Linked DNA regions of Arabidopsis thaliana. The protein of the gene in region 3 interacts with the protein of the main gene of each other region in a pairwise test. Each region holds a gene or a part of one and is shown on either strand. Other genes may lie near its edges.

Region 1 (3,574 bases), on a different chromosome or scaffold from region 3:
CTAAGCCATACGCTCCTTCTCTACGGAAATTAATTCATGAAACCAAAAGCTTGAAGAAATTCAGCATTATGAGCCCGTCTTTACGGAACGATGATTACCGAAGTTTTCTCAATCCTTTAAATCCATTTCCTCTGAATTCTGAGCTCATGTATATGACATTACACAACATCTGCGATTGGTGGTTTTTCTAGGATTATAAAGCAATCTTTAGTAATTCTTAAGGTGAGCAACTCTTTAGGCTCGACAAGCTCTTGATCAATTTGCAAACCTTTCAAAGTTTGAAGAATAACGGCATTTTGACTGCATCTCCAAGGAGAAGTAGTTACCGAATCTTCGACAATCTCTCTTATCCGGCAGCTTCTTCCGTGGAACGTTTTCTTAAAAGCTTGTATGCGTTGTTCGCTCGAGCCATCTATAACCACATGGTGGTCGAGGAATTTGTGAAGTCTGTCTTTATGGGCGAACCCAATTTTTGCTTCAACAGATTTTTTAATCTTTGCAAACTCTTTAAAGATGAGCATCTTTTTGAAAAACTCATGGAGCCATTATCTCTCCTCCTTTTGTGTTTTTTTCAGTTTCTATTTGTATGAACATCCCTCTTTTAGGTTTTAAGTAAATTAAAGTTGTTTGACAAAACAAAAAAGAAAGCCCATACGCTCCTATCTCTCTGCCTCTCTCTCTTTTTCTCTCGCTTTATGATGTTTTCTACGTAATAAGTGTTGATATGGGCCTTGGGACGCTTCATATGAGATTGGATAAGTTTTCAACAAAATTTACGACCAAAAAGATTGCATGGCAAAATTCAACTGAATAGTATTAATTTGCATATTAACATCCTCTCGCATGAATTTTCTTTCAGTATATCGTCCGTATATTTTAATATCATAAAATAATAAATCGCTCTAAGAAAATCTTAACCTCTCAATTATCAACCCGAAAAGAAAAAAAAGAATATTAAAACGAAGTATTTTATTCCCATCCTAGATTTGGGAAGGAAAAGGAAAAAAATAAATAATAATAATATAAACTAAATTATTTTGTACGTATAACTATATATAAATATTAAATAGGAGCCTAAAAATAAATAGTAATTTCTTATCGCTATTATATAGTTTAATAAACAAATTAAGAAGGATATTCAAAGATACGGAGAAACCCTAGGCAGGGCCAATCATTTAGTTCCCAACAAAAAAAAGAGAACGGCGGCGATATTATGTTCTATTCTACGCCGGAGAAGATTCCGAATCGCCGGAGGTTTTTAGTGGACGATTCGATTTTCACTCTAAAACGAACAAGATTGCTAAAGCATCTATTTATTGATCACCATAATAGAGAGTAAGGTAAAGAACTAACAACGAAATCAAAGTCATCAATCACACCACTTGAATAAGCCAAAATATAAAATCATTCACGAAATCGAAATATGGAAAACCAAAAAAAAAAGAGAGACGAAAGTCATCAAAACCCTAAAACCGACAATAAGAAACGAAACCAAAAACTAGGGTTTTGGTGTCTATTCAAAAGCCCATGCGTTTTCCTTGCGAACCGCTGCTTCTTCTTCGGGTGTGAAATCGTTCTCGATGTTGAAGATTTCTCGAATTTCCTCTGGAGTCTTATCTTTGATGCGATCTGCAACGGTTTGAGCAGAGAGATCAAGAAGGCCTTTGATATTGAGATAGTTAGCAGCGAGCAAGAGTTGGAAGACCGTAGGCTGATCAAATTTCTTCATGAACTCTTCGTCCCAAGTCTTGAACTCGTCGCTTTCTTCGTCAACGACGTGTTTCTTGCAATACTCGACAACAATGGAGAGGATCTTTCCGGTGACGTTTTGAAGAGGGACCTCGGTAACAACACAGTCGTCTTCAATCATGTGTTCCACGATTTTCAGTTTTCTTGCCACCGCTTCTTCAACCTCGAAAGATTCGCCATCGGAGCTAGACAAAACAATCTTGTTGGAAGACATGTTTGTTCGTTTTTGAGATTTTGGGTGATGAAAAGAATAATATTGGTTATGATTTATGCAAAGATATTGAATGGAATAGAGAGGAGTCGATGAAGGCGTCTATTTATAAAATATTTTAAGAGTCGGTCAATTGTGTTTTCCTTTTCACAATACTGGAAGAGAAGAAAAGCAAATCTTCCAAATCTCTAGTGTTTAGCCTTAAAACTTTTGGGCTTAAAAGTAAAAACCGACGTCTTAGTAAAAGAGTTTATCAGGAGATTCTAGAAACTTATTTAACATACAAAAAGAGTTTTTTTCCTAAACATGGCTATTTTCTATGAAAATTTTGTATGACATTTTATTTATTTAATTAATTTGTCCATCTTACTTAGAATTGAATTTAATTGATTAATTATTAATCTAATTATAGGATAAGAGTCTATAAATTAAGTTTTGTAATCAGTTGCGTTCTTTTAGTTTATTAGGTTTTAATTTTCTACTTTTATTTGAATAACTACTAATTAGAAGAGTAAATCTCAAATTAAATAATCTCTATTGATCTAGCTAGATTCGAGCCTCGATCAAAACAGTACATAAAAAAATAAATTGTTCTAAGAAAAATCATAAATAACCTCGTAAATATATATACATGTTTGTATATAAGAAATTCTTGATAACTAGCATAAGAAAAGAAAAAAAGAAAAACTTTGATTCATACGAACTAATAATTTTAAGAAAAAGAGAAAATAATAGGAAGTTTTTTAACGGCGGCGACTTTTTTTTACTACGTTACAACCGGAGAAAGAATTCGGAATTGCCGGAGGATTTGGGTGGACGATTCTCTTTAATTTTTTCATAATTTTGGTGGACGATTCATTAGTTGAGATTTAATCCGCTTCACTCTAAAAGATAGCTAAAGCTAAAGCATATTTATTGATCATCATTCATCATAATAGTGCAAGAAAATTGGTCAATTAAGTAAAGAAAGACTTAACAACGAAATTAAAGAGACCAATCAATCCCACACACACTTGAGAAAACAGAAACAAATCATACATGTAAAAGGAAAAAAGAAAAAAGAAACGAAGCAAAAAGCTAGGGTTTTGGAACTTGTTGTTTTCCATCTTGCTCAAAAGTCCAAGCGTTTTCATTGCGAATTGCTTCTTCTTCTTCAGGTGTGAAATCATTCTCGATGTTAAAGAGTTCTCGAACTTCCTCTGGCGTCATATCTTTTATGTAATCTGCAATGGTCTTGCTACAGAGATCAAAAAGACCTTGGACGTTGAGATAGTTAGCAGCCAGAATAATGTCGAAGATCGTCTTAATATCGAAATCCTTCATGAACTTTGCATCCCACTCATTAAGCTTCTCCTTCTTATCCTCAGCTTCATCATCTCCTTCAGTTGATTCAGGTACGGCCACATCATCAGGCTTCTTCTTCGCCTCCTCAACTGTTTTATCTCCTTTCGTCGATGATTCATGCGTCTCCACCACGTCATCATCGTCTTCAACGTGTTTCTTGCAGTACTCGATAACCTTGGCGAGAATCTCTCCGGTAACGTTTGGAATAGGGATTTTGTTTGTAGCACAGTCGTCTTCGATAATGTGTCCTACGATCTGCAGTTTTCTTGC
Region 2 (3,780 bases), on a different chromosome or scaffold from region 3:
ACTAGTAAACGAGGCCATACACTAGAGGGAGAGCCGCACTTTTTAGTATTTGAAAACAAATTGAAGACTTCAAATTTAAATTGAATTGGACTTTCTTTTTGAAAAAACTCGAGAGTTTTAGTTTTCAGGGCAAGTGATTTGTTTGTGTCAACTTACACACATGTAAATACATCAATTGTGAGGAGGAATATTTGAAAGGATATACTGATGGCTGTGACGTAAGTATAATTTATTGCACGTGAAAGATTTGCTTAGTGTGTCTTTGCAACTGCTTAGATGCATTGTTTTTGGTAGGTCGACCTGTTGACACCCCCCGTATAGTATTCAACGCAGCCGCGCGTGGATGGGTGTACTGTTGAATCTTCGTATATCTTTTGGTTTATTTTGGTTTACTCAACTGAAATTACCTTTTATGAAAAATGAGTCGACAATTAATTTACTTTTTTTTTTTTTTTTTCATTCTTTCATTTTAACCCAACCATGGTAAAGTTACAACAGCATAATAAAACTCATATAAAGGCCCAGCAACATAAAATTACTTATTTCTTTCAGTTAAGGAAAATAAGTATTTCGTTATTTTTTTAATTGCTTTTTTTTTTAGAAACAATAACTATCTATATATACATTTTTGCAGCCACTTTAACAAATAAATCTTCACTTAGCACTTATTTACTATGGCATGCCATTGACATTTATTATTTTACTAAACTTATTTTTAAATATAAATATAAAATCTATTATGTTACTAAAATTTATGAAATTAAAAAAAAAAAAAACATTTAAATCTTTCCAATTAGCATTAATCACCCTGATTTTTCGTTTTACATCATTTATTTTCAGTTAATAAAATGAATCAAATCTTATATTACAATATATGCTTTAATATTTTCATTAAAAAAATAATTGCGTAATAAAATTTGAAACCCTAATTATTTCTCAATCAACATTTTTCGTTTCAATTGTACTAAATAATTTTGCTCTTTTTTGGCAAAAATAAATTGTACATGTATTAAGTTGATATTGCAGATTCAAAAAATATTAACAAATGCCTAAATTTAGGTTATTAAAATAAAAAATAGTTAGTTAAAAACACAAGTATATCAATCCCAAATTATGATTAAATTAAATATTTATTTATAATAATTTTTACCAAAAAATAACATTATATATATTAAAATTTTTGAAGTACTTTTTAAAGTACTTTTGTGTTAGTAAAGTAAGAATTTACAAAGAATGTCATCACATTAAAGTCAAAAACAATTATTATTTTTAAAGAATATTAGTGATATATTTTACCTTTATGAAACATTATTAATATTTAAACATAAAAAATTAAAATATCATGAGACGGGAAGTATAGCAGAACGGGTTTGGATTGATAGGAAATACATCGAGACGGGTTTGGATTGATATAACACAGGTAAAATATTTATTTTATTATTTTATCATCACTAATTTTTTTAATTACAAGATTAATATAAAATTATATAACTTTATTACTAAATATAAAATTATAAAATTTAAAATTATTATATATATAAATAAAATATTTGTCCGTAGTGTACCACGCGTTGAATTATAATATGTTGTTGTCACCGACTCTAGCTAGGGCTTATAAATACAAAGACGCATAGGGTTTCACAACTTCATCACCTTAACACAATTTGTTCGCTCTCTAAATTCTTAAATCTTTCATCAAATTTGCTTCACAGTGAAAAACCTCCTCCACAAGGAACACACAATGTCTTCGAAGATGATCGTGTTGATGAGCTCCGATGGTCAGTCGTTTGAGGTGGAAGAAGCGGTAGCAATCCAATCGCAGACCATAGCGCATATGGTTGAAGACGATTGCGTTGCTGATGGAATCCCTCTTGCAAACGTGGAAAGCAAGATTCTTGTGAAAGTGATCGAGTACTGCAAGAAACACCACGTCGACGAGGCTAATCCTATCTCTGAAGAGGATCTCAACAACTGGGACGAGAAGTTCATGGATCTCGAACAATCCACCATCTTTGAACTCATCCTTGCTGCGAATTACCTCAACATAAAAAGCTTGCTTGATCTCACATGCCAAACTGTTGCGGACATGATCAAAGGCAAGACTCCAGAGGAGATTCGTTCAACTTTCAACATTGAGAATGATTTTACACCTGAGGAAGAAGAAGCTGTTCGTAAGGAGAATCAATGGGCTTTTGAATGAGCCCATGAATCAAAACCCTAACTAGCTTTCTTTTTCTTTTTTTCGTTTTTTAGTGTTTTCTTTTTAACGTCTTGATCGATTATGATAACTTTGTCTACATCTTTATTATGATTTGTGTTTCTTTTTATGAGAAAAAAACTTGAACCATGAATGACTAATCCGTAGGAAAGTTATCGGCCATGTCTATTAGTAGTTGCAATGTAGATAATAATGTGACAAACGGAAAGAATATTATGTGTGCTCTACATGGATAACAAATTTACATATAATCAGTACCATCGTCCATCACTTAGACTGCATATCACCTCTTGGGAGATGTAGACAAACAAACATTAAACTGCTAGAACACACTGAAAATACCACAATTTCTCACCAATACCCGATCGTCAACCTGACAAAAACAATTATCCATCACCAATACAACATTAAACTTCTCTATGGTTTTATTTGACTTTCTAGTCTATGAAATATACTTATGTATAGTGGAGTGCAACGATATCATTATTCGTAACTTCAATTGATCCTAGAGTTATAATGAACGAAGGACTAAAACAGAGCTGCTAATAATATTTTAGATCGATTTCAGAATCCACCAGTATCTAGAGCAAACTAATTGTTCTTCACTATGAACATCAATGTTTTACCAATCCATTATTACAAAGTTTTGTGATATCCATATAACTAGTCCACCACACACATTCAGAAAGATTCATGAACCTTATCACGAACTTACTTGATTGTCTAGCAGAAGTTGGAAAGGTAAGCTTGAGCTAAGGAGAGACCAAGCTGGACTTGAGCCTCGGTGGTTAAGTGAAGATTGTCGGACTTTAGCGGCAATCCCTTAGCATCTACACAGACCACATTCGACAGTTTCAGTCCCAACTGTGCTTCTCTCACCTTATCTATGTATCCTCCTCCCGATGCTATTGCCACCTGCTTCAATCAAAACCATCAAGATTAACCAATGGAAATCTGACCTACCGATTTCTAAAAGACAAAATCACTTGCAACAACTGATATGTACATTGTAAAAGCCTAAAATTACATAATCTGCAACTTAACTCTTTCACCAATAACACAACGTCACAACCTATGTAGATGTGACATTGGAAGCTAAAATCGCACAAAGGATAGAGAGACCTGAATAATGGGAAGAGAAGGAAGGTTGAGATCATGACGGAGGTTCTTAATCAAACGATCCATATTGTTCCCGTAGCTCTCGGCGTCATGGATGTCCAACACGTCACTCTCTCCTTGATACCACAACACCGCCTTGATCTCTCCGCCGCATTTCCTACTCTCCTCCGTTCTCTTGACCATCCTCTCGTACAAGTGGCTTCCACGCTCCCACTCTTTTATCGCCGTTCCACCGGAAGCGCACGGCACCAACCCGATCACAGCCGAATCTGTTTCCAGGCGATTCTTCACCGCGTTAGCGAACGCCATTCCTGGACCTACTCCACACACTTTACCTGTGTCAATGTCAACGTGTAGTGGCTCGTGTGCTTCTTCCCACCGGAGATCTGCGGACAGGCGGAGGATCGATGAGTTTGGTGCGCATTCCGGTGGAAGGATTTTAT
Region 3 (5,995 bases):
GATACACAAGTCGTAAGTTTTCTCTTATATATCTGTTGCATATGTAAACTACTCGTTATGGTTAGTTGTGGAGATCAGCCATTCGTAGATTGAATTTTTGATATTTGTGAACCTTGCAGTGTTTCTTCGATACTCCGGGTCTGATGCTGAAGAAAAGCGGATATGGTTACAAAGACATCAAGGCTCGTGTGCAAAATGCTTGGACTTCTGTTGACCTGTTTGATGTCCTCATTGTTATGTTTGATGTCCATAGGCATCTCATGAGGTTAGTCGTTTACTAGTTTTTGTACTTTGTTAGCTTTACATAAGTTATCTCGGAACTGAGAGTAGTATGGTTATGAGCATCATCATCAAGTGGGGTATCTTAGGGTGGGATTATTATTTCTAGCTTCTCTGTTTCGATATCTTTCATATCTTGTTCATCTCTCCGAGATTATCCATAAGCTTGAGAACCGTAAACCGATGGGAAGACACATCTATTTCTTTCTTTTGAAGAAGGCATCATGACTGTGGTTTTTCATTAATTACAAGTAGAAATAGAGTTCTCTTAGACTTATTTTGTAGTTTGTGAATTCTGTTTTCTCTTTGATTTATCTAGTCCCGATTCAAGAGTGGTACGCTTGATCAAATACATGGGAGAAGAAGAAAATCCGAAACAAAAGCGCGTTTTATGTATGAACAAAGTTGATCTGGTTGAGAAGAAAAAGGATCTATTAAAGGTTGCTGAGGAGTTCCAAGATCTTCCGGCATATGAAAGGTGGATATATATATACCAGACTCAGTTTAAAAACAATTACCGGGGAAGTCTTCGAATTGATTGAAATGTGCTTTTTCCCTGTTTGGTTTTCTAGATACTTCATGATATCGGGACTTAAGGGATCAGGAGTGAAAGATCTTTCCCAATACTTAATGGATCAGGCTGTTAAAAAACCATGGGAAGAAGATGCATTCACGATGAGTGAAGAAGTCTTGAAGAACATTTCTCTTGAAGTTGTTAGGGAGAGATTACTAGACCATGTCCATCAGGTAATAATACAACCTCTACTAGTATAACATTTTGTATCAGTTTCCGTCTATTCCAAGATGACAAATTACAGGATTGATTGAAACAAATTGTAGGAAATACCATATGGTCTGGAGCACCGTCTAGTGGACTGGAAAGAGCTGCGTGACGGGTCTCTTAGAATTGAACAGCATCTCATCACTCCTAAACTTAGCCAACGCAAGATTCTTGTAGGCAAGGGCGGTTGCAAGATCGGGTAAGAGCATACAAGATCGTTCATAATTCATTCTTTTGACTAATCAATGACTCAAGGATGATCTTATGTTGATGCTAATTTTGCAGGAGGATAGGAATTGAGGCCAATGAAGAACTCAGGAGAATAATGAACCGCAAAGTTCATCTCATTCTCCAGGTTAAGCTCAAGTGAAACCATTCTCCCAAGGGTTATGTTTTTGAGTTTGATGGATTTAGGATTGGATTGTACGCAATTAGAAATCTGTCTGTATATGTTGTTGACATGTTGTCAAAGATTAGACATTTGACATTAGAAATATAAACTTACTACATACAGACAGTAATAAGATAAAAGAAACAGAATTTTGAGAAAACAACAAGCAGTCTTAACGTCAGAAGTGGAAACCACAAGTAGTCTCTTTATCTTAAAGTCTAAAAACTAACAGACTCCAGGAAATGGAAGTGTTAACTGATCAAGAAGACTAACCACCGGTGTAGTAAGCACCGGGTCATAAGCAAAACCCTGCAAGACCTCTCCGTCTGAACCGCCACCTGAGCTACCGCCACCACTGCCGGAGTAAGGACACGGTGGGACCCACAGCCAGCTTTTTCTCACTATATCAAACAGCAACTGCAACGAGGTTCCTCTTAACACAATCATTACAAACTCTTGATTTCCGACACACTCGAATCCTTTTCCACCTTCTTCTGCTGCAAACTGTGTGTAGAGCGGCTGAGGCATCCGTTCGATCTCGACCCATGTGGCGTTATCTTGTTGCAAACTCCAAAGTCGTAGGCTTTTGGGAACGTTCAACTTGCTTTTCTCAACAGCTGCTACAAGAATAAGCCTCCCTTTGCTCTCTAACAAGCTTGGAGATCTGAGAAATCTCCTCATCGGAGCTTGAATCTTGATCCACCGGTTTCCAGTAACTTCATAGGACAAAACGCTAAAAGGGCTATAGTTCATACAGTAAAACTTGCCTTGCACGTAAACCATCTTACCAGATTCCAAGCTACAAAGCCGTGGCAAAGAAGAAGTCATCGCCCAGAGGGAAAAGAATCCGCCGGCGTCGACATGGAAACTCTCCGATGAGAGGTTTTTCACAGCGTAAGGAGATATGAGATCATCTCCAGCGACAGTAACATCAATAGAGGTTGGTGTTACCGAGAGACCTATCGAAGGGAAAAGCCTTGGCCTTGATATTGGTGGCAACTGACTCACGGATCCGACAAGAGGGTTACACAAGAGAATGGTTTTAAGACCAGCTTCTTCGGAGACCCAACTCACTAACCCTCCTGATGATCCTGAAGGATAAAACCCTGAAGGGATATAAGCAAAAGAGAGACGGTACCATCGGATCTCATTAGGATCAAACAAAAAGCCTTCAGCTTTATTGGAATCATCATCGTTTGTTCCTCCTCTCTTGTAAATGTAACTCTTTAGGGTTTTGTGTTTGAAGAAGAGGAAACAGTTGTGTCGGAGAGGAAGTAGTTGTAGATATGTCTCGAGGAAGGTGTTGGAGAAAAGTAGACTGTAGAATCTCTTGCAGACGCAACGTGTCCGGAAAAACGCCGGAGGTGGAAGAAAAGCAATGACGCGGTCAAGAAGAGGAGGTGGTAGCTTGCTCCAAATCCGACCGTCCATCCATTGACCGGAGCTTGAGTCTGTGGTGGTGCTCGTTGTTGTGCTACTGTTGCTGCTACTGGTAAATGTGTAAGAGAAAGGTAAGGTTAAAGATGGGTTATTGATGAACACAGTTGAATCCATTTTAGCTGAAAAATGAAAAGATTTGGTGAAAGTGGATTTAGAGTTTATTTTCTTGTGTTGGGAATATGTGAAGGGCTTTTGAGGAGGGTTTTGGTGAAAGTTATGCAAAACCCATTGTAGGAAAAGAGGCAAAGATCATATGTAAAAGTTTTGAAGAAAGAGACAAAAGTGTTTGGTCTTTCTCTGTGAGCTTCTTGCATGGGTTTTTGATATGTTCTTGACTTCAATAGAGTAAGGTGGCATATACTTATATATAAAGAACATTTGGTATAAAACAAACAAAGGTAATGGATTTATACAAATAGAAAACATATATTATATTGAATAGAAAAAGAAATAGTGTTTCTTTATTGTTAAAAAGGTATAGTAGTAAGTAAGTAGTGACACACCAACCAAAAAAAAAATAACTCAGAAATTTATGTTTATTTTCTATCAACGTAAAAGATTATATATGTTAATGTTTTAGTTGATAGCTTAGCTTACAGACGTTTTTCTATTTGTGTGCTGACAAAAAGAGATTGGAAGTAAAAAATCAGTTGATATATGTTGTTATTTTCTAAACAGAAATAATAAAATACGTCTAAAAAACTAAACCGGTCAAGTGGCCAAGACAAGAGAAATAGGTTTAATTCCAAATAATCTAAATTTCACAAGAAAATTGGATATATATTTTTAATATTAAAGTGTGTTTCGAATATATATAACGGATGTACTTTGTTATCATACGAACCTAGAACATCAACAAGCACAAGTATCCAAAAGCCTTGTTATAACCCCAGTTTGGTGATAATTATTGACTAACAAAATTTTGTTTGTATATGTGTGTGTTTGGGTAAACGTGAAAATGGTGGCAGAGGAAGTGATGGTCTTAAAGTTGAGAGCTTCAGAGTTATCTTGTCAATGCCCAGCATCGAAATTATTAATTTGGAGACTACTCCAATACTTTTCACACTTGATCACATCTTCAAATCTTTTTTCTTTCTTTCTTTTTCCTCTCTAATTTGTAATATACAACTTTTATTACATGCACGCTTCTCAACTTCTATAATGGTCAGTCAAATTGTACTCGTGGAGATCAACCCAAGAAAACTAGAGATTATTAAGATCATTTTTTTACTTATATATTATATCAAGCCAATTAGAATTACTTTATATGTTAATATATATGTGTGTTTTATTCTAAATAAATTAGTTGGTTCTCTAATGTCATAGAAGTGCATTTATTCTAAATAATTTTGTTGGAGGAGACCACATTATCTTATTCGAACTCAACACAAAATTTGACAATATCTACTTTTTTAGTTTCTAATTATTTGATGTTTTGAGTTATTTTTACTTGTTCGACCAAAATTAATGTTTTATAAAAATATTGTTATTATTTTTGCTTGTGACTAATAATAAAAAAAGAAAAATAAAATTACTAAACTAACAAAAAAATAATTTTATAAAAATAGAAAACATATTTTTTATTAATTTCTATCTAAAATCCAAAACATCAAATAAAGAGGAACATAGTGAGTATGGTTTTAAAAGACTCCAACAATAAAACTTCCATCTAGGAAGAAAAACTGATAACATGTATAACACACAAGAATGTTATTTCTAAACATGAGAAATAGATATACACAAAATTTAATATGAATTATGATGCATTTTTGTCATGTGATCCAGTTTGTTCCTAAATTATAGCAGAAATAGCTCTTAGTTTATCCCCTTTTTTTAAAGAGTAAACAAACAAACTATATGTTAGTATGTTACCCTTATTTGATGTTGTTGCAATTTAATGTGAAACAATTCATTATATACACTATATATATATATATAGTGATTATTTTTTCTTATAAATTGTAAACTCTTTCAAACTCTAAAACCTCCAAGTCCAAGATAATGAACTTCTTGTTTAGGGAAAATAAAACTAGCTTTCATACAAATCTCAAATATATCAATTTACATCTAATTTGCAAACAAAAGAATTTTAGACATCACAAAACATTTACAACTCAATTTCTAATTAATTCTTTATCCAGAAAAAAAATTCTTATATTAATCATTGCTAGCTATAATCAAGGTTTAGAAATAAATAAAAGGAGTTTGGATTTTTTGAGATTAGGGTTAGAGAGACATCATGACTGAAAATAAAGAAGAAGAAAGAGTGAAGAGTAGAGTCAGATCAAAAGTCCAATCAGGGTTTCTTATTTAAGGCATTGTTTACCGTGAAAATAATAATACAAGTGAGAATATCTGAAGCTGACAAGTCGCAAAAGGGTAATAATATTCTCTATTTGCAGTAACTCAAGAGGCTTCGCTTTTGTTTGTGTTTTGATGCTAAAGGAAGTCTCTGAAACCAAACAGTGTCTTGTTTTTATCAAATCATCTATCTTCCCATTTCCCAACTAGGTTTTGTTTAACTTTGAATTACGCTTACAAGTCGTACCCATAATAAATAGTCTGATTTAACATTAAAGCATAAACTTTTAATGAAGCATCTCTTTCTAAACTTAATAATAAAACATAATCTGATTTTATTTTGTCGCCCACATTAACTGATTCGAAACTCCATTCATGCCATTATGTAGTTTTATTTACACACATGTGTTAATTGGTACGTAGTAGAGTTATGGATATAAATTTCCGGCCCAAAGTGGAAATTGATATTGTAATTTGTAAGAAGAACTAGTTTACGGCCAGCGTTATGCGCGGACAAATTAGTTAGAATCAATTAAATAATTATATTTTGTAAATGTCTTTACATCATTAGAAGATCAAACAATTTTGTAAAGCATAATGCATATATTAAAAAGTTTGGATATTTCTTGATTAATTGAAATCGGGTCTAATAGTTATAGTGGTTAAACCTCTGAACATATTTCATTAGTTTAACAGAACTGGTATATGACATGAGAACTTTACACACGTTCGGTTATAAGTACGACATGCAAACTGAAAACCAGATATTTTAAACCGTTTTTGTGACATTATTTGCGTCTAGT

The links. Proteins that work in one complex are often made in the same cells at the same time.
Region 1: the proteins of UFO (region 3) and SK14 interact in a two-hybrid assay, tested with the Arabidopsis thaliana proteins (3 studies listed by BioGRID).
Region 2: the proteins of UFO (region 3) and SK11 interact in binary tests that used the Arabidopsis thaliana proteins (3 or more experiments, as listed by UniProt).

What each region holds. Positions count from the first base shown.
Region 1 is NC_003071.7:959,711-963,284, reverse strand, and holds SK14 (SKP1-like 14), read right to left. Parts: upstream 1,978-3,574; 5' UTR 1,964-1,977; coding exon 1,514-1,963; downstream 1-1,513. Other genes in the region: AT2G03180 (uncharacterized protein), read right to left, coding at 159-521; SK19 (SKP1-like 19), read right to left, coding at 3,038-3,574. UniProt on the Arabidopsis thaliana protein: Involved in ubiquitination and subsequent proteasomal degradation of target proteins. Together with CUL1, RBX1 and a F-box protein, it forms a SCF E3 ubiquitin ligase complex. The functional specificity of this complex depends on the type of F-box protein.
Region 2 is NC_003075.7:16,377,262-16,381,041, forward strand, and holds SK11 (SKP1-like 11), read left to right. Parts: upstream 1-1,741; coding exon 1,742-2,200; 3' UTR 2,201-2,267; downstream 2,268-3,780. Other genes in the region: AT4G34215 (carbohydrate esterase, putative (DUF303)), read right to left, coding at 2,942-3,133, 3,341-3,780. UniProt on the Arabidopsis thaliana protein: Involved in ubiquitination and subsequent proteasomal degradation of target proteins. Together with CUL1, RBX1 and a F-box protein, it forms a SCF E3 ubiquitin ligase complex. The functional specificity of this complex depends on the type of F-box protein.
Region 3 is NC_003070.9:11,033,190-11,039,184, reverse strand, and holds UFO (F-box family protein), read right to left. Parts: upstream 3,194-5,995; 5' UTR 3,006-3,193; coding exon 1,677-3,005; downstream 1-1,676. Other genes in the region: AT1G30960 (GTP-binding family protein), read left to right, coding at 1-12, 120-265, 599-757, 852-1,026, 1,120-1,259, 1,346-1,430. UniProt on the Arabidopsis thaliana protein: Component of SCF(ASK-cullin-F-box) E3 ubiquitin ligase complexes, which may mediate the ubiquitination and subsequent proteasomal degradation of target proteins. Considered as a meristem identity factor required for normal growth of the young floral meristem.